Linked DNA regions of Callithrix jacchus. The protein of the gene in region 2 binds, or shares a complex with, the protein of the main gene of each other region. Links are inferred from orthologs where the notes say so. Each region holds a gene or a part of one and is shown on either strand. Other genes may lie near its edges.

Region 1 (5,484 bases), on a different chromosome or scaffold from region 2:
GCAATCCAGCCTGGGTGGATGGAGCAAGACTCCATCTCAAAAGAGAGAAAAAAAGAAAAGAAAACCAATGGGGAGGAGATTATGGGGAACATGTTGGGGTTCCCCTCCTGCTCTCACTAGGTGTGGTACAGCCTGACAAGTATAAGCCAGTGCCGGATGAACCCCCAAATCCCACAAACATTGAGGAGATGCTAAAGAGGGTCCGAAGCAATGACAAGGAGCTGGAGGAGGTGAACCTCAACAATATACAGGTATTTGACTCCCATCCTCCAAACCAGAATGCCAGATACCTGCTGACACCCGAGCCCCTTAGCCCACCATCCTGTTCCCCTCTGGTAGGACATCCCGATAGCCATGCTAAGCGAGCTGTGCGAGGCAATGAAGACAAATACCTATGTGCGGAGCTTCAGTCTGGTAGCCACGAGGAGTGGTGACCCCATCGCCAATGTAAGGCTAGTTGGCATCCCCAGCCCTCTCCCCACATCTCCCAGGCACCCCTTGCGGGACTCATCAAGGGTGTTGCTAGGGAGTGCTATTCTCATCAGCCTTCTTAGGGCAGCCCTCAGGGAGACTCCTACCCTCAGTGCCATGGCTCATAACTCTCAACCTCTCTAAAAGCCCCAGTCTCTCTAACAGCACATGAATCTCCCTACTTTCCACTGCTATCCCCCTTGCTTTCTGTATCCCTGTAGCCCCATTTACAGCTCAAGGACTCTTCTCAGAGTTTGTGTTTCCCTCTTGCTCCTGTTCTTTCTCTCCTCAGTCATCTGTGACACTGTTCCCTAATCCTAACCCAAGTCCCTACTACCCAGGCAGTGGCTGACATGTTGCGTGAGAATCGTAGCCTCCAGAGCCTAAACATCGAATCCAACTTCATTAGCAGCACAGGACTCATGGCTGTGCTGAAGGCAGTTCGGGAAAATGCCACACTCACTGAGCTCCGTGTAGACAATCAGGTCAGTATTCCCTTCCCCTGATGCTAGCATTCAGTCTCACTGAGTTTCCACACCGAGGCAGCCACTGAGGCAGCTATCTTTTTTCATCTCGTTTGAATTCTCTTCATTGTCTGCATGAGGGAAGCCAAGTCAGCATCTCTCTTCACCTACTGTGGAGAAACAAGCCTCTTTGACTTCCCAAAGGGATCTGTGGTCTGGGATGGTAAACAGCCCAGAGAGGGTGACTGTCAGCTTTTGCCTGTCCCTCCCCCAGCGCCAGTGGCCGGGTGATGCGGTGGAGATGGAGATGGCCACCGTGCTAGAGCAGTGTCCCTCCATTGTCCGCTTCGGCTACCACTTCACGCAACAGGGTCCACGTGCTCGGGCAGCCCAGGCCATGACCCGAAACAATGAACTACGTGAGTAACTGCAGACACGATGTGTGGGGTGGGCGGGGAAGTGCAGAAATGGGCGGGTCCTCCTGAAAGCAGACCTAAAGACTAACAGCCCAGGGTGCTTCCAAAGAGGTATTCACATGCAAAGTTCAAATCTCAACAGTGATCAGAAAGGAGACAGAAAACTCCACCTAGAGGGAGAAAGAATGCTAGAGATAGGAATACATGTTTAGAGGTATCATCATTTCGTTTGTGGTGTGGTTTGGTTTGTTTTGTTTATGTGGGATGGGCCTGTAAGGTGGCCTAAGACACTACCAATTTATAAGTTTGGCTAAGGGATTGGAAAGGAGAAGAGTCTTTGCAGAAAGCAGGAGCTGGAACCAACACTTAGGGTTAATCTTCCTGCTTTACAGGTCGCCAGCAAAAGAAGAGATAACACTGCATTTCCCTTTGCCAACCAGAGCTGGGAGCACTGGACACTTAAATCCTCATCTGTCCTCCTTTCCTGTAAATAAAAGCCCTTCTGTCCATTTTGCCTGCCTCCTTCCTTGGGCTTTCGGTGGGAATCTTGGCGCTAACCCCCAAGGGTTACTGCCAATTCACCAGGGGATTATTTATACTCTGGGGATCATCAGGCAGGGAAGTTCAGGTTACCAGTAGGAGGTGGGGGAGCTCCCTCCCTTGGTGTTCCCCATAACCTTGCCAATGCCTTTAGACTCTTCTACATTCTCAGGGTACTTAGCCTCAGCCCTGTTTCCAGATGTGGCCAGGTGCCCCCGGTGCCTACCCACAGTCTTCATGTGATTTGAAGGGGAAAGGACTTTAAATGGTAGTGGAGAAGGAGGCAGACAACATGAAGGGCAAAGACCTCTTTTAGACAGTCTTATTAATAGGGCACCGGGCTGACGCAGCTGACGCCTGGCATGGCTTTGGTAGAAGATGGGGGAGGGGTTAGAAGTATGGAGAGCTGTGTACATTGCAGGAAAGCAATAGCCAGAATGAGAATGAACAGATCTGAAATCCTGAGATCCGACAAGAAACCAGACTTCAGGAAAGTTAAGTTCTCAGCACCCCCTGCAGTTTATTTGTGAATGAATGGGAAAAGGCTGTCAGTCCAAGGGGTAATCAGGTGGTTCCTCCTCATCAGAGTCAAACTCAACATTTTCATCTTTTACCCATCGACCTCTTCCATCTGGGATCCATCCAGAGCTGAAAAGATCAGAGAAAATGGCATTGATCAGGAAAGAGGCTCATTAAGAAGTCAGTGGTGAGCTCACACCTGTAATCCCAGCACTTTGGGGGGCTGAGGTGGGTGGCTCACCTGAGGTCAGGAGTTCGACCAGCCTGACCAACATGGTGAAACCCTGTCTCTAGCAAAATAGTTAGTGGTGAGAAAAAAATTGAGAGTCATGTAAGTTGGGTGGCTAAAACAAAATGGAACCAAAGATAAAAAACAAAAATAGAAGTAAAAAAAAAAAAAAAGACTAGGCCGGGTGCGGTGGCTCATGCCTATAATCCCAGCACTTTGGGAGGCTGAGACGGGTGGATCACGAGGTCAAGAGATCGAGACCATCCTGGTCAACATGGTGAAACCCCGTCCCTACTAAAAATACAAAAATTAGCTGGGCATGGTGGTGCGCGCCTGTAATCCCAGCTACTCGGGAGGCTGAGGCAGGAGAATTGCCTGAACCCAGGAGGTGGAGGTTGCAGTGAGCCGAGATCGTGCCATTGCACTCCAGTCTGGGTAACAACAGCGAAACTCCGTCTCAAAAAAAAAAAAAGACCAAAAATAAGAAAAATTAAATTGAATACCTTTGAAAAATAGACGGTCAGAGAGAAAAGAAAATCTGAGGAAACTGATTGGGCACACTCACCTTCGAAGGGTGAGATAATGGTTCAGGGCTCGTCTTCTTGTGGGGCTCACAGGTGCAGGGGCTGAGACAGTTGCTGACTCCTCGGCCTGTGGGCCAGCCCCAGGCTCAGGTTCCCTACTGATCTTCCCACTTTGGAGTTCGACCTCTGAGGGTGGCATAGGGGAAAGGGAGACAGAGGGACCAGGGGCTTCTGGTCTAGGTAGAGAAGAACAGTCTGTAAAAGCAGTAAGGCTGAAAGGGCCAACTCTCCTATGACTCCCAACCGCTTAAAACTGTGCTTCTTAAACTGTATGACTCTATTTCTCAAGATATTAATAAGTTCTGCCTACAAAGGATTTTAGAATCATGAATTTGAGAAAGGCTAGCATAAACATTTTTAGGTTTTTTTTTTTTGAGACAGAGTTTTGCTCTTATTGCCCAGGCTGGAGTACAACAGCGCAATCTCAGCTCTTCGCAACCTCCGCCTCCTGGGTTCAAGCAATTCTCCTGCCTCAGCCTCCCAAGTTGCTGGGATTACAGCTATGTGCCACCATGCCCAGCTAATTTTGTATTTTTAATAGAGATGGGGTTTCTCCATTTTGGTCAGGCTGGTCTCAAACTCCTGACCTCATTTTTAAAATATACTTAAAATATACTGTTATTGGGCCGGGTGTGGTGGCTCAAGCCTGTAATCCCAGCACTTTGGGAGGCCGAAGCGGGTGGATCACGAGGTCAAGAGATCGAGACCATCCTGGTCAACATGGTGAAACCCCATCTCTACTAAAAATACAAAAAATTAGTTGGGCATGGTGGTGCGTGCCTGTAATCCCAGCTACTCAGGAGGCTGAGGCAGGAGAATTGCCTGAACCCAGGAAGCGGAGGTTGCGGTGAGCCGAGATCGCGCCATTGCACTCCACCCTGGGTAACAAGAGTGAAACTCCGTCTCAAAAAAAAAAAAAAAAAAACTTACTATTCTTCAAGTAGAATTACAAAGTGCCATTTCCCAAACTTTATTTAAAAATCACAAAATTCGGCTGGGCACGGTGGCGCACGCCTGCAATCCCAGCACTTTGGGAAGCTGAGGTGGGCAGATCACAAGGTCAAGAGATTGAGACCATCCTGGTCAAGATGGTGAAACCTTATCTCTACTAAAAATACAGAAAATTAGCCGGGCATGGTGGCAAGCACCTGTAATTCCAGCTACTCCAGAGGCTGAGGCAGGAGAATCACTTGAATCCAGGTGATGGAGGTTGCAGTGAGCCAAGACTATGCCACTGCACTCCAGAGTGAGACTCCATCTCAAAAAAAAAAACAAAAACACATCCTCCCTCCCTCTCCCCCTTTCTTTCTTTCTTTCTTTCTTTCTTTCTTTCTTTCTTTCTCTCTTCTCTTCTCCTCTCTCTCTCTCTCTCTCTCTCTTTTTTTTCTTTCGAGTGTTACTCTGTCACGCAGGCTGGAGTGCAGTGGCATGATCTCAGCTCACTGCAACCTCCAACTCCTGGGTTCAAGCAATTCTCCTCTCTCACCCTCCCGACAGGTTCAGGCAATTCTCCTGTCTCACCCTCCTGAGTAGTTGGGACTACAGGTGCCCACCACCATGCCTGGCTAATTTTCTGTATTTTTAGTAGAGACAGGGTTTCATCATGTTAGCCAGGATGGTCTCGATCTCCTGACCTTGTGATCTACCCGCCTCAGCCTCCCAAAGTGCTGGGATTACAGGCAAGAGCCACCACACCCAGCCCCCACCATTTTTTTTTTTAAGACGGAGTCTCACTCTGTCACCCAGGCTGGAGTGAAGTGGCATGATCTCGGCTCACTGCAACCTCTGCCTCCCAGGTTCAAGCGATTCTCCTGTCTCAGCCTCCCGAGTAGCTGGGGATTACAGGCACACGTCACACACCCAGCTAATTTTTTATATTTTTGGTAGAGATGGGGTTTCACCATGTTGGCCAGTCTGGTCTTGAACTCCTGACCTCAAGTGATCCACCTGCCTCGGCCTCCCAAAGTGCTGGGATAACAGGCATGAGCCACTGTGCCTGGCCAAAATTCTCCTTTTCTTGAAACACTAAGTAACATCTCCGGAATACCAGTGTTCCTTAGAATACACATTGGAGAACTTTTTTTTTTGAGACGGAGTTTAGCTCTTGTTACCCAGGCTGGAGTGCAATGGCGCGATCTCGGCTCACCGCAACCTCCGCCTCCTGGGTTCAGGCAATTCTCCTGCCTCAGCCTCCTGAGTAGCTGGGATTACAGGCACACGCCACCATGCCCAGCTAACTTTTTGTATTTTTAGTAGAGACC
Region 2 (6,421 bases):
GCCATTCTGTGAGGCGCCACCATTTCTTTGTTCCAGTTGTCATATTGGGGTGAGTTTGCAGGGGTGCCCCATGTGTCCTTATCCTCTCCCCTGGCGTGCTCTGGAAGGGGTCTTGCTGTGGGCTTGCTTGGACAGACCTATGGGCGTCAGCAGAGCCTTGCTAGCCAAACCTCTGGAGGAGAGTCCCTGGGCCAAGGGCTGGTTTGCCCATATGACTTTTGGGGGCTCAGAAGGAGCCTGTTTTGTATGTGGGGGGGTGTCCCTGCTCAGGTCCTGTGCCTGAATAGGGACCCTGTTGACCCTCTGGTGGTCTCTTCCTTACCTATAGTGATGTAGGAAGGTGGGGGTAGTTAAATGACGAAGGAATGAAGGCAGTGGAGGAGCAGATGTGGTCAGTTAGGCCGGCCAGCAGCAGGCAGGACCCACAGAGGGCGGGGAGGGCAGCACGAGGGCCTGCTGCAGTTTCAGGGCCAGGCCCAGGAGGCTCCTCCTGCCTCTCCCCTGGTCCTGGGTAGGCAGAGCTGGGCCCAGCCCACACCAGCTAGCAGCAGCTGCTGGGATGTGGCCCCCAGTGAGGTGCTCCCCAGCAGCACATAGCTCTGACAGCCCCGCCCCCAGCAGTTCCCGCCTCTGATTGTCCAGACTTTGTTTTATGGGAAAGTTTCCTGTAGAAGAGCTGAACTGCAGACACGCCACCAGAAGTGGGGGAAATAAGAAAAAAGAAAAAACATCCAGAAACAGAAAAATAGAGGGTCCCACCGTCCCAACACAACCACTCGTAGCGTTGGGGTGCATTTCTTCCCTTTCTCCCCACTTTTAATGTTTTTTTTTCCTTAAATATTCACATAACAGAATAATAAGGCAGACCCGTGTGTTGCCCCACTAGCTGAAGAAATACCTTTTTTTTTTTGAGACAGACTCTCACTCTGTTGCCCGGCTGGAGGGCAGTGGCGTGATCTCGACTCACTGCAATCTCCGCCTCTTGGGTTCAAGCGATTCTCCTGTCTCAGTCTCCCTGGTAGCTGGGACTACAGGCACCTGCCACCATGCTCAGCTACGTTTTGTGTATTTCCTACAGATGGAGTTTCACCATGTTGGTCAAGATGGTCTCAATCTCTTGACTTTGTGATCTGCCTGCCTCAGCTTCCCAAAGTGCTGGGATTATAGGCATGAGCCACTGCGCCTGGGGAAATTTGTTCATTTTTTAATTTTAGAAGTAATCTGTGCTCACCATAAAAATGTCCAAACCCTGCAGAAATATACCACCACCCAGCGGCCTGGTCTCAGCTCGGAATCACCCGTGATGGCTCTTCACAGAGAATGGTGGGGGTGCCACATAAACACAACCGCCTGATGCCATCCTGCAGCCCACATGAGGTCCTTGCAGGGGCTTGGGGCCTTCCCTTTTGTCCAGAGCTGCCCAGAGTTGGCTGGTCAGAGACCTTTTCAGCCCATCTCTGTTTGACCCCAGTATCTCTGTGCATCAGTCACGTATTCATTATCATTATTAACTCTGCTTCTTCCAGAAACTGGACGGGAGGTCCCTGATCAAGCTGAACTTTGCCAAGAACAGTGAAGGTGAGTGGAACCGTTGGGGCCAACTCTAGGCTTGGCTTGCCGACGACCCAGGCTCCTGGCTCTCACCAGGTCTCATATGGAATCAGTCATTCCTTTCTGACCAAGCTGGATACCTGCTTTTAGTCCTCAAAAAGTGTCACAGGATTTCTTCTCAAAGATCTGGGTAGTTTTAGGCTGGAGATGGGAGGGGGCAGAATCTTGGGTGTTGGGAACTTTCCACAAAGGTGATTGGGCCGTCATGAGCTGCCAGTGGCCTTTGTGGGCATAGTCGGAGTTGCAGGGCATGGGCCTCCTCTGGCTGAGGCTGTGGTCTGTTTGGAGGCAGAAGTTGCTCTGCACTGGGAACTAGGGCAGCAGCTGGGGAGGGAATGTGGTGGTCTGGAGGGATTTGTCGGGTAGCTCTCAGGCTGGGCGTTTCCTCACTACAGCTCATAGGGCCTAGCCCAGCCCAGCCCAGCTCAGCAGCTCCTGCTTCATGTCCCTTACACACGTTGCGCTGCTCTTGTGGTCAGATTCTTAAATGAGGTACACAGCTCACCCCTGCCCAGGTGCTGACCTTGTCCTAGGTTCTAGCACAGGTCTTCTGCCCTTGCAGATCCCATGATTTAGGGGTTGTCCATGCTCACTGGGTGCATGCATTCCAGGGAGATGCTGTAGCATGTGAGGCCATGGCCCTTTTGCCCCACTTGTCTGAGCCTAGAGCCCGGTTCCTAGCTGATGCTGCGTTCGCAGGTAAATGAGTGAGTGAACTTCAGCATGTCATTGACAAAGGTGGAGGACAGGGAGCTGCACCCTGGTGGCCGAAGGTGGGCTGCCTCCCTGTCTGTGATCAGCAGTGTATGTCTCTCATTCAGCAAATATTTATTGAGTGCCTGCCATGTGCAGAGAGCACAACAGGCTGAGTCTTTGCTGAGAGGAGCATGTGTTCTGGTGGGGAAGAACGCCAGAGAGCAGCTCAGCAGGGTATGCCAGAGGCTGCTTCCGTGTGGAGAGCACAGCAAGGAGAGGGCCGCCCTGACACACTTCAGGGAGGGAGAGCCATGAGAGGCTCAGGGGAGCGCAGGGCTGGGCCGATGGCACAGCCAGTGCAAAGACCCCGAGGTGGGCACATGCTTGAGGGTGTCTGTGCCCAGCCAGGAGTCCAGTATGTCTGGTACAGCATGTGCTAATGATGAAAGCAGGGGATGTGGTGACAGGTTGGGGCAGGGACAGGTGCAGAGCAGTCCTGTGGGCCCTGGGAGCCACAGGAGGACTTGGGCTTCTGCCCAAGATGGGAGCCACTGAGGGAGGGGTGAGGTCTGGCTTTTTTTTTTTTAAACTTTGACATGGCAATTAGCTTCTTTTCTTTTGTTTCCTTTTTTTTTTTTTTTTTTTTTGAAATGGGGTCTCACTCGGTCACCCAAGCTGGAATGCAGTGGTACAGTCTCAGCCCACTGCAATCTCTGCCTCCTTGGCTCAAGAAATCCTCCCACCTCAGCCTCCCAAGTAGCTGGGACTACAGGCACCACCACTGCACCCAGCTAATTTTTGTGTTTTTTGTAGAGACAGGGTTTTACTGTTGGCCAAGTTTACTCCTGGGTTCAAGCAATCAACTCACCTCAGCCTCCCAAATGCTGGGATTACAGGCCAGTCTGCTTTGTTTCTTTGTTAATTGGAATTATTCTTCGTGGATGAAAGTGGAGAGAGGAAGTGTGATGTGCCTCCCCTGTGCCCATCACAGACTCCAGCCCCTGCCGCAGACTCCTGCCTGGGCACAGACATACCTTCCCTGGCATTATAGGCATGAGCCACTGTGCCCCGCCCCAGCTAATTTTTTTTATTTTCATTTTTGTAGAGATGAGGTCTCCCTAAGGGCTCAAGTCCCCACCCAGTGGGGACTTAACAGGCAGAGAGACAGTAACCAAGGCTTGGGAGGCTAAGGTAGGCAGATGGCTTGAGGTCAGGAGTTCCGGACCAGTCTGGCCAACATGGTGAAACCCTGTCTCTACTAAAAATACAAAAATTAGCCATACGTGGTGACGCATGCATGCCTGTGGTCCCAGCTACTTGGGAGTCTGAGGCAGGAGAATCACTTAAACCCCGGAGGCAAAGGTTGCAGTGACCTGAGATCACGCCACTGTACTCTAACCTAGGTGACACAGCAAGACTCCATCTCAAAACTGAACAAAACAAAAAAAGAGACAGTAGCCGGGCAAGGGGATGGGCAGTTCTGAAGGAAGATCTGAGCAGGGGGTTGGCGGGGAATGCGGGTAAGAGGTGGAGCCGTCAGGACTGGAGCATGGGTTGTTTCTTGCTGAGGGCCAACTTCAAGAAGAGGAGGAGACTAGCATGGCGGTCAGCAGAGGTGTGCTGGAGGATGTGAGGAAGATGCTGCAGGGACTGGGCCTTGCGGGATGAATAGGAGTTTCCTAATGATATGGAGGGGCTTGAGGGGCTAAGCAGCTGTCCCCTTGGTTCCCTACTCTGGCAGTTGACGGGGTTCCACCTCCTCCCATCGCTAACTTTGGCCGCGTTCTGTCCTGACTTGTCCTGGCCCCAAGTGCCCACAGAGGTGACTGGCCTCCCCGTGTGTGCCTTCTCTCTAGGGAAGTACCACTGCCCAGTGCTGTTCACCGTGTTCACCAACAACACCCACATCGTGGCTGTGAGGACGACCGGCAACGTCTACGCCTACGAGGTGTGTCCTTGCTCCAGGGCCTGGAGACCACGGTGGGGAGATCTCTGCTGTGTGTTCCCAGGATACATGGGCTGGGCTGTGCTGCGGGCATGGCCTGTCTTTGTGGGGTTTACAGTCACAGCCACAGGCACCGGCCTCTGCCAAAGCTCTGGCATGACAGCCTCCCAGATTTCAGGCAGGTCAAGAATAGGGTTGGGGGAGCTGCATCCTTTGGAATCAGGCAGTCCTGGCTGGCAAGCAGGGACCCTTATCTCGCAGGGGGTCCTTCTGCATCTTCAGCAAAACCTAGGTGCTGGGAAGGCACCGTGCTCTGAGAACGGTGTGAGAGGAGTGCTGGCCCTGGCTCTCGATGGAGCCAGTTGTGTCCAGGAAGGAGCTGTCCCCTGGAGGAGTTCTGTCTGGGAGTGGGTGTAGGAAGAGAGGAGGCAGCCATGTTCACACATGGGTCCTCCTCTCAGGGGTGAGGCGGGACAGGCCCTATGTGGCAGGAAAGCCCCGACCTTTGTGCCATTTTCAGTCCTGCACCAGGACATTGGTGGAGTATAGGTGGCCAGCGCTGCTCCAGGGACCTTAGGGGCTACTTCTTGCCAGAAGCCTACATAGACTGGCATGGTTGGTCCTCGTAGTGGATTGAGGACTCTGCTATACTGGGCCCCAGGAGTGCAGGCATCTCATGTGCACAGCCCCTGCCCACAGGCCTGGCACCATGCCTGTGCATGGGAAGTAGTCAGTGAAGGCTTCAGCGAGTGGGTGGGTGGCTCGCCCAGCCACTTTGCTGATCAATATGTAGACAAGAGCTTCCTGCAGGAAGGTTGCTGCAAGGCTGAACTGGCACATCGTCTGATGCCCAGCCAGCTCCGCCTTTGTGGGGGCCACTGCTTTCAATCAGTGGGGTGAACACTGCTGTCTCTCTCGTTCCTCGCCTCTCAAATGGTGTCATGGTGCCAGTTCTGGGCCTCCCTGCTCGCAGGCTCCTGTGCCAAGGCTTGGGGCATGCATCGTAACACCACTTCTTCCTGGCTGTAGGCAGTGGAACAGCTAAATATCAAGGCCAAGAACTTCCGGGACCTGCTAAGCGATGAGCCCTTCTCCCGGCAGGACATCATCACCCTCCAGGTGAGTGTCCCCTGCCCACCTGCCCCAGCTGCCTTCAGTGTCCACAGCCAGCCCAGGCCTCTGCAGGGGCCACCTCCGTAGCCTGGCTCTCACATCTCCCTGATCCCCGACCCCCATGTCAGGGCCCCTCATACCTGTCCCCAAAGCTACCTGAGGCATCTGAATGGCCATTCTGCTGGCCTGGTTCTGTTCCAGTGCCTTGAGGGCTGGAACCGTGGTGAGCTATGGGCCTCGGTGTCTGGCACAGACCTCCCTGCAGATATCAGAGAACCCCAAGTGAATTAATGAAAAACACGACTTAGAAAAAAGCAGGTGATGGCTAGAGTGCGGCCTGGGGCAGCCTGCTCAGTCGGTCACCTCTGTGGCTTGTCCCATTCTAACCAGACGTCAGCCCCATGGCTGCCCATGTTCCTATCCAGTAGCTTCCTAACAGTGACCAACAGCTCGTTAGAGTGTGCCTGGAGGAAGGTCGCAGCTCGGCCAGCACCTAGCAAGGCTATGCCCCTGTCCCTGCTCCTGCTTATTGCCCTGCCTGGGGCAGACCACCATCCTCCCCCATGCCCTGCTTGACTCCCCCTACCTCTGACACCTGCCCGTCCTTTGCTACATGTGGCTGCCATTTGGCCGCAGGCTGGGTTCACTCTGCTGGGTGTTCTCTCTTTGCCACAGGACCCCACCAACTTGGACAAGTTCAATGTCTCTAACTTCTATCATGTTAAGAATAACATGAAAATAATAGACCCAGGTATGTACAACCAGGGGCTGGGCTAGGTGAGGAGGCATTTGGGGGAAATTGGGACAGTGTTCCCTGGGCAAAGCCCCCAGCTTCCTGGGAGTCAGGGGTTCCAGCCCAGATAAATCCTGCATTTTCTAAGCCAGTGTTCAGAGAATCCGAGTCAACTGCAGCCTCAGAAACAACATGTGGGATAGACTTGCTGCCCTGCCAGGATGCCTGCGCAGGTTCCCCTGCTTTCTGCACTGTCTGGTGCCTTCAGTGGGCAGGTGGTGGGGTGACAGGGTCCTCCTGTTTTCCTAGCCACTGGTGGCTGT
Region 3 (5,264 bases), on a different chromosome or scaffold from region 2:
ATAAAAATACAAAAAAATTAGTTGGGCATGGTGGCGCGTGCCTGTAATCCCAGCTACTCAGGAGGCTGAGGCAGGAGAATTGCCTGAATCCAGGAGGCGGAGGTTACGGTGAGCCGAGATTGCGCCATTGCACTCCAGCCTGGGTAACGAGCGAAACTCCGTCTCAAAAAGAAAGAAAGAAAGAAAGAAAATGCCAGTAAGCAATGTTAGTTCTACATAAAGTCCTGAGGACAGTCCTGATTACTTGTACCTGATCAAAATCATCTTTACAGGATCAAGCTTGAAACTCCCATTTTATTTTTTGTTTTGAGATGGAGTCTCTCTCTGTCTGCCAGACTGGCAATTCTCCTGCCTCAGCCTCCCGAGTGGCTGGGATTACATGCATGCGCCACCGTGCCCAGCTAATTTTTGTATTTTAGTAAATGGGAGTTTCTTCTTATCGGTCAGGCTGGTCTCGAACTCCCGACTTAAGGTGATCAGTCCGCCTCGGCCTACCAAAGTGCTGGATTACAAGCGTGAACCACCGCGCTCGGCGCTTCCCAGTATTTCAGGGCACCCCTTTGTTGCACCCCTGGAAGGTCGGTCCCCTACTAGTAATGTGGGGAACATTTGCTGTAAACTGGGAGGCGGCTGATGGGGACAAAGGCTGAGTACGAGAATCGCAGGGTCAGAAAAAGACCCCTCAGAGCCGTCCCTGCACCCTGGCCCTAGGAAGGCCTCACGTAACTTTAAGGCCACCTGCAATGGCACCAGTCTACGAGGGCCCAGCGTTCTATGCAAATAAACTCGGCGGCCCCGCCTAGCGTCGCGGCTCCGGAAGCTGCTCTCCCTCCCCCTTCCTCCCCGCGCTTCCGGCCGGGCTGGTGCCCCTACGAGCCCGCAGTCCCTGCCTGGCGGCGATGGCGCGGCGCGTACGCGTGCTGGTGGACATGGACGGCGTCCTGGCTGACTTCGAGACCGGCCTCCTGCGGGGCTTTCGCGACCGTTTCCCCGGGGAGCCGCACGTGCCGCTGGAGCAGCGCCGCGGCTTCCTGGCCCGCGAGCAGTACCGCGCCCTGCGGCCCGACCTGGCGGTAGGGGGCGCGGGGTCCCCACCCGGGCAGGGCCGGCTACCACCGTTCGCGGGGCCACCTCTTCTGTGTGAATGGAGCAGAGCTCTCACCCCAGAACCCGCGGGCAGCGCACCCTGGGGAGGAGTCTTTGGGCGCGTGCCCCTGAGCGAAGCCCCCTCCGCAGCCCTGAGCCGGAGCCCGGAGCCCCTAGGAAGCTCCCTGCGAGTCCTCGCTGGAGCTGGCTCTGTCAGAGGCAGAAACCGGGACTCAGATCTCTTGTCTTTCAGGACAAAGTGGCCAGTGTGTACGAAGCCCCAGGCTTTTTCCTGGACCTGGAGCCCATCCCGGGGGCCTTGGACGCCGTGCGGGAGATGAACGACCTGCCGGAGTAAGGAGGGCGAGGGCGGGCGGAGGCCTGGGTGGGCTTCGGACTCCCGGCTCCCAGCAGTGACCACGTCCTCCTCCTCCGTAGCACGGAGGTCTTCATCTGCACCAGTCCCCTGCTGAAGTACGACCACTGTGTGGGTGAGAAGGTGTGGCTGCCCGGCCCCCCACCGCACATGGAGCTGCCTAAATCCTGATTTTAAAAAGAAACCACTAGAACTAGAAGGTTGGGGGTGGGGGGCGGGCTCTCAAGGGCTTAGGCCCCACTCCTTGCCCCTGAATTCCGGCTCCCATCAGGCCCTACTGATAGACCTGTGTCTCTTACACAGTACCGCTGGGTGGAGCAGCACCTGGGGCCCCAGTTCCTAGAGCGAATTATCCTGACAAGGGACAAGACGGTGGTCTTGGGGGACCTGCTCATTGATGACAAGGACACAATTCGAGGTTGGATCCGTCATCTTTGGCAGCCTTCAGGCCTCTGGCCTACCCGGAGTAGGGAGGGGGAGTAAAAATAACCAGATGACAGCGGGCTGCCTTTCCTGTCCTAGGCCATGAGGAGACCCCAAGCTGGGAGCACATCTTGTTCACCTGCTGCCACAATCGGCACCTGGTCCTGCCCCCAACAAGGAGACGGCTGCTCTCCTGGAGTGACAACTGGAGGGAGATCTTAGACAGCAAGCGAGGAGCTGCGCAGAGGGAATGAGAGGGATGCCGCGGGCAGCGGCTGAAGCTGAAGGGCAGGCCCGCAGGGGCCACCGCAGAGCCGAGTCAGGGTGGCATTGTGCTGGTCGCTGGCCCCGTGGAATGGAGCAGGTAGACACCATAACCTCTGTGTTGCCAGGCCACAGGCCCAGCCCCTGGTACCTCCCGAGAGGCTGCCCCTGGACCCTGGCTGGCATGCAAATAGGGTGGGAAAACTAGTCAGGACCCTTTTAATAAAAGACCTTGGCTTTCTAGTCTTCTAGGATGCTTTATTTGGGAGTGTAAAGGGACAGGTTCCCTGGGTGGATGCTGATGAGCCCTGCCCTTCCCTCTGAGTCCAGTGGCCCCCGAATCTACCCCATTTCCACCCCCATTGTGGATACCATTCCTGTAGCACTTGCCAGTCCTGGGCCATCTAAGGGGTCAGCCTTGAAGGGGTACACAAGAGGCAAGAACCCCCCATTTTCCCTGAGCTCCAGCTTTCCATCGGGTCCCACGTACCTTCTGTTGACCAGGGCACATCGCGCACATGGAGCCACATCCTTTATGTTGCTGTCTCTTCCTGTCTCCCTTGAGCACCACTCTTTCACTGCGTCCCTGATGCCCTCACGAGATGTACTTCTGGGGTAGGGGCTCCCCATCACTGAGTATGACAGCGTAGGAGGAGGGTGAGGGGGAAAGATGCAGCTCCCCAGGGTTATGCCTCCATTCCGATGTGTCATCACTCCCATGGCCTTTTCTTGATGCCTGATGGCCACATGAAGTCACTGGGCCATGTCACTCAAGGGCAGGGACCCCCATCATCTTGGAGTCCCTTATGTGGTGCCTGGCAGAAAGCAGGACTGGGCAGATGATTCATGCTGGGCCACAGGTTATCCAGGTTGGCATCCCCACACCCAAATGCCCGGCCTGGAGAGCCCCTGGGGGAGGTATCCGTCCTCCACAGCCCTCAAGGGAGGCACCACACCTTCCCAGGGTGAGATCCTTTCACCGTGAGGCATCTCATTCCTGTCCCTGAGAACTACTCCGGACACTTCTGTTAAGGTTAATCCCCTATTTTCTGTTATGAAGGTAGCTCTCTTAAGCGTCAGTCCCAGTTGCTGAGAACACTGTCCTGCAAAGCCTCTGGGTCTGGGCATGTGGCTGCTTTTTTTTTTTTTGAGATACAGTCTTGTTCTATCACCAGGCGCCAGGCTGGAGTGCAGTGGCGCAATCTCAGCTCACTGCAACCTCTGCCTACCGGGTTCAAGCATTTCTCCTGCCTCAGCCTCCCGAGTAGTTGGGACTGTAGGCGTGTGCCACCATGCCTGGTTAATTCTTTTATTTTAGTAGAGACAGGGTTTCACCATGTTGGCCAGGATGGTCTCAATCTCTTGACCTCATGATCCGCCTGCCTCGGCCTCCCAAAGTGCTGAGATTACTGGCGTGAGCCACTGCACCACGTAGCTGCTGCTTACACTACCGCCTGGCAGTGGTGGCACTGGACATAGGGTTGAGTGCAGGCCTATGGAAGCAGCTCCAGTTTCTTCATGTGTCTCTGAGTCTGGCTTCCTTAACTGAATGGCATTTCATCACAGTGTAAATACCTGTCCTGCTGAAAGAACTCGCCTTTCCAATGGCCGAAAAGGCACCACTTGGGCAGCATGTCCTCCCCCTGTGCCCTGTGTCCACACCAGGCCCGTGGTCTCCAGCAGTAGGAGTGCTATAGTCTCAAGGTCTCCATGGATCAGCGCTGCTGTGGGGACACGCTCCTAGGCAGTGGGATACCCAGGGCAGAGTGCGCTTGCCGGCTGTGGGCCTCGGCCACCTGGCTAGGGGAGCAATAGTCCTCCAGGAAGATCTGCGCCAGGTTCCGGAGCCTGGCACTGGCTGAGAGGGAGAAGCGCAGCATGCACTGCACCACGGGTGCGGCAGTCAGCTCTGGGGGGCGGCTGGGGCCCAGTGTGCTCAGGTGTATGAGCGTGGTGATGGCAGACAGTACCGTCTCCTCGTTGGGGCTGGACAGGCAGTTGATGATGAGAGGGATGCCTCCTGCCTGCAGGATGTGTTCCTTGTTGGCCCTGTCTGGGCACAGGTTGCACAGGCCTCCTGTGGGAGAATAAGGAAGAATCTGTATGCTGCAGCCTCAGCCTTCCTCCCAGCTCCCCAGCCCATGAGCCCCAGGAAGGGACCCAGGCCAGAGAGAAGCTTGCCCCAGTACAAGGGATCCAAAGCCCATTCCAGCTTCCTGCCCTCTCAAGCTTTCAGAAAGGCCTTCCTGCCTGCTCCAGCCTGCCACAGCCCAGCTTTCTGAAAGTGGGCACAAATCCCTTTCCTTCTCAGTTCAATGGCTAATGTGCTTTTTTCCATTTCTTAAATGTAAAAAAGTAAAACAAAGCTGGGCACGGTGGCTCATGCTTGTAATCCCAGCACTTTGGGAGGCTGAGGTGGGTGGATCATCTGAGGTCAGGAGTTCAAGACCAGCCTGGCCAACATGGTGAAACTCCATCTCTACTAAAAATACAAAAATGAGTTGGACGTCGTGGTACGTGCCTGTAATCCCAGCTACTTGGGAGGCTGAGGAAGGAGAATCTCTTGAACCGGGGAGGCAGAGGTTGCAGTGAGCTGAGATTGTGCCACTGCACTCCAGCCTGGGTAACAGAGCAAGACTGTTTCAAAAACAAATAAATAAAATAAAAAACTAAAACAAAATCTGTAATACATCGTCGTCACCTTAGAACAATTTTTTTTGAGACAGTCTCTCTCTGTAGCCCAGGTTGGAGTGCAGTGGTGCGATCTCAGCTCACTGCAACCCTGCCTCCCGGTTTCAAGCAATTCTTCTTCCTCAGCCTCCCGAGCATCTGGGACTACAGGTGCTTACCATCATACCCAGCTAACTTTTTGTATTTTTTAGTAGAGACAGGGTTTTACCATGTTAGCCAGGATGGTCTCAATCTCCTGACCTCGTGATCTGCCCGCCTCGACCTCCCAAAGTGCCGGGATTGAGCCACAGCACTTTGGGATGAGCCACAGTGCCTGGCCAAGCAGAATTTCTAAGCAGAAAGACATGACCCAGGATCGGTAAGAGGAGGAGATACGGTGTAGCCACCCAGCGCTCTGTGCCAGGCAGATCCAGTGAGGATCTCA

The links. Proteins that work in one complex are often made in the same cells at the same time.
Region 1: PPIL2 (region 2) and SCNM1 share a complex: the UniProt entries of both Homo sapiens proteins name them as parts of the minor spliceosome. The link is inferred for Callithrix jacchus from reciprocal best matches to the Homo sapiens genes PPIL2 and SCNM1.
Region 3: PPIL2 (region 2) and ARMC7 share a complex: the UniProt entries of both Homo sapiens proteins name them as parts of the minor spliceosome. The link is inferred for Callithrix jacchus from reciprocal best matches to the Homo sapiens genes PPIL2 and ARMC7.

What each region holds. Positions count from the first base shown.
Region 1 is NC_133519.1:11,062,208-11,067,691, reverse strand, and holds the end of SCNM1 (sodium channel modifier 1), read right to left. Parts: intron 3,400-5,484; coding exon 3,205-3,399; intron 2,540-3,204; coding exon 2,440-2,539; 3' UTR 2,387-2,439; downstream 1-2,386. Other genes in the region: TMOD4 (tropomodulin-4), read left to right, coding at 121-251, 340-447, 813-956, 1,210-1,354, 1,744-1,766. UniProt on the Homo sapiens protein: As a component of the minor spliceosome, involved in the splicing of U12-type introns in pre-mRNAs. Plays a role in the regulation of primary cilia length and Hedgehog signaling.
Region 2 is NC_133502.1:193,646,713-193,653,133, forward strand, and holds part of PPIL2 (RING-type E3 ubiquitin-protein ligase PPIL2), read left to right. Parts: intron 1-1,526; coding exon 1,527-1,578; intron 1,579-4,163; coding exon 4,164-4,255; exon of another isoform or gene 4,256-5,275; intron 5,276-5,281; coding exon 5,282-5,371; intron 5,372-5,521; exon of another isoform or gene 5,522-5,624; intron 5,625-6,040; coding exon 6,041-6,116; intron 6,117-6,421. UniProt on the Homo sapiens protein: Has a ubiquitin-protein ligase activity acting as an E3 ubiquitin protein ligase or as an ubiquitin-ubiquitin ligase promoting elongation of ubiquitin chains on substrates.
Region 3 is NC_133506.1:131,045,797-131,051,060, reverse strand, and holds the end of ARMC7 (armadillo repeat-containing protein 7), read right to left. Parts: intron 4,227-5,264; coding exon 3,865-4,226; 3' UTR 2,387-3,864; downstream 1-2,386. Other genes in the region: NT5C (5'(3')-deoxyribonucleotidase, cytosolic type), read left to right, coding at 900-1,073, 1,340-1,440, 1,525-1,585, 1,766-1,880, 1,985-2,139. UniProt on the Homo sapiens protein: As a component of the minor spliceosome, involved in the splicing of U12-type introns in pre-mRNAs.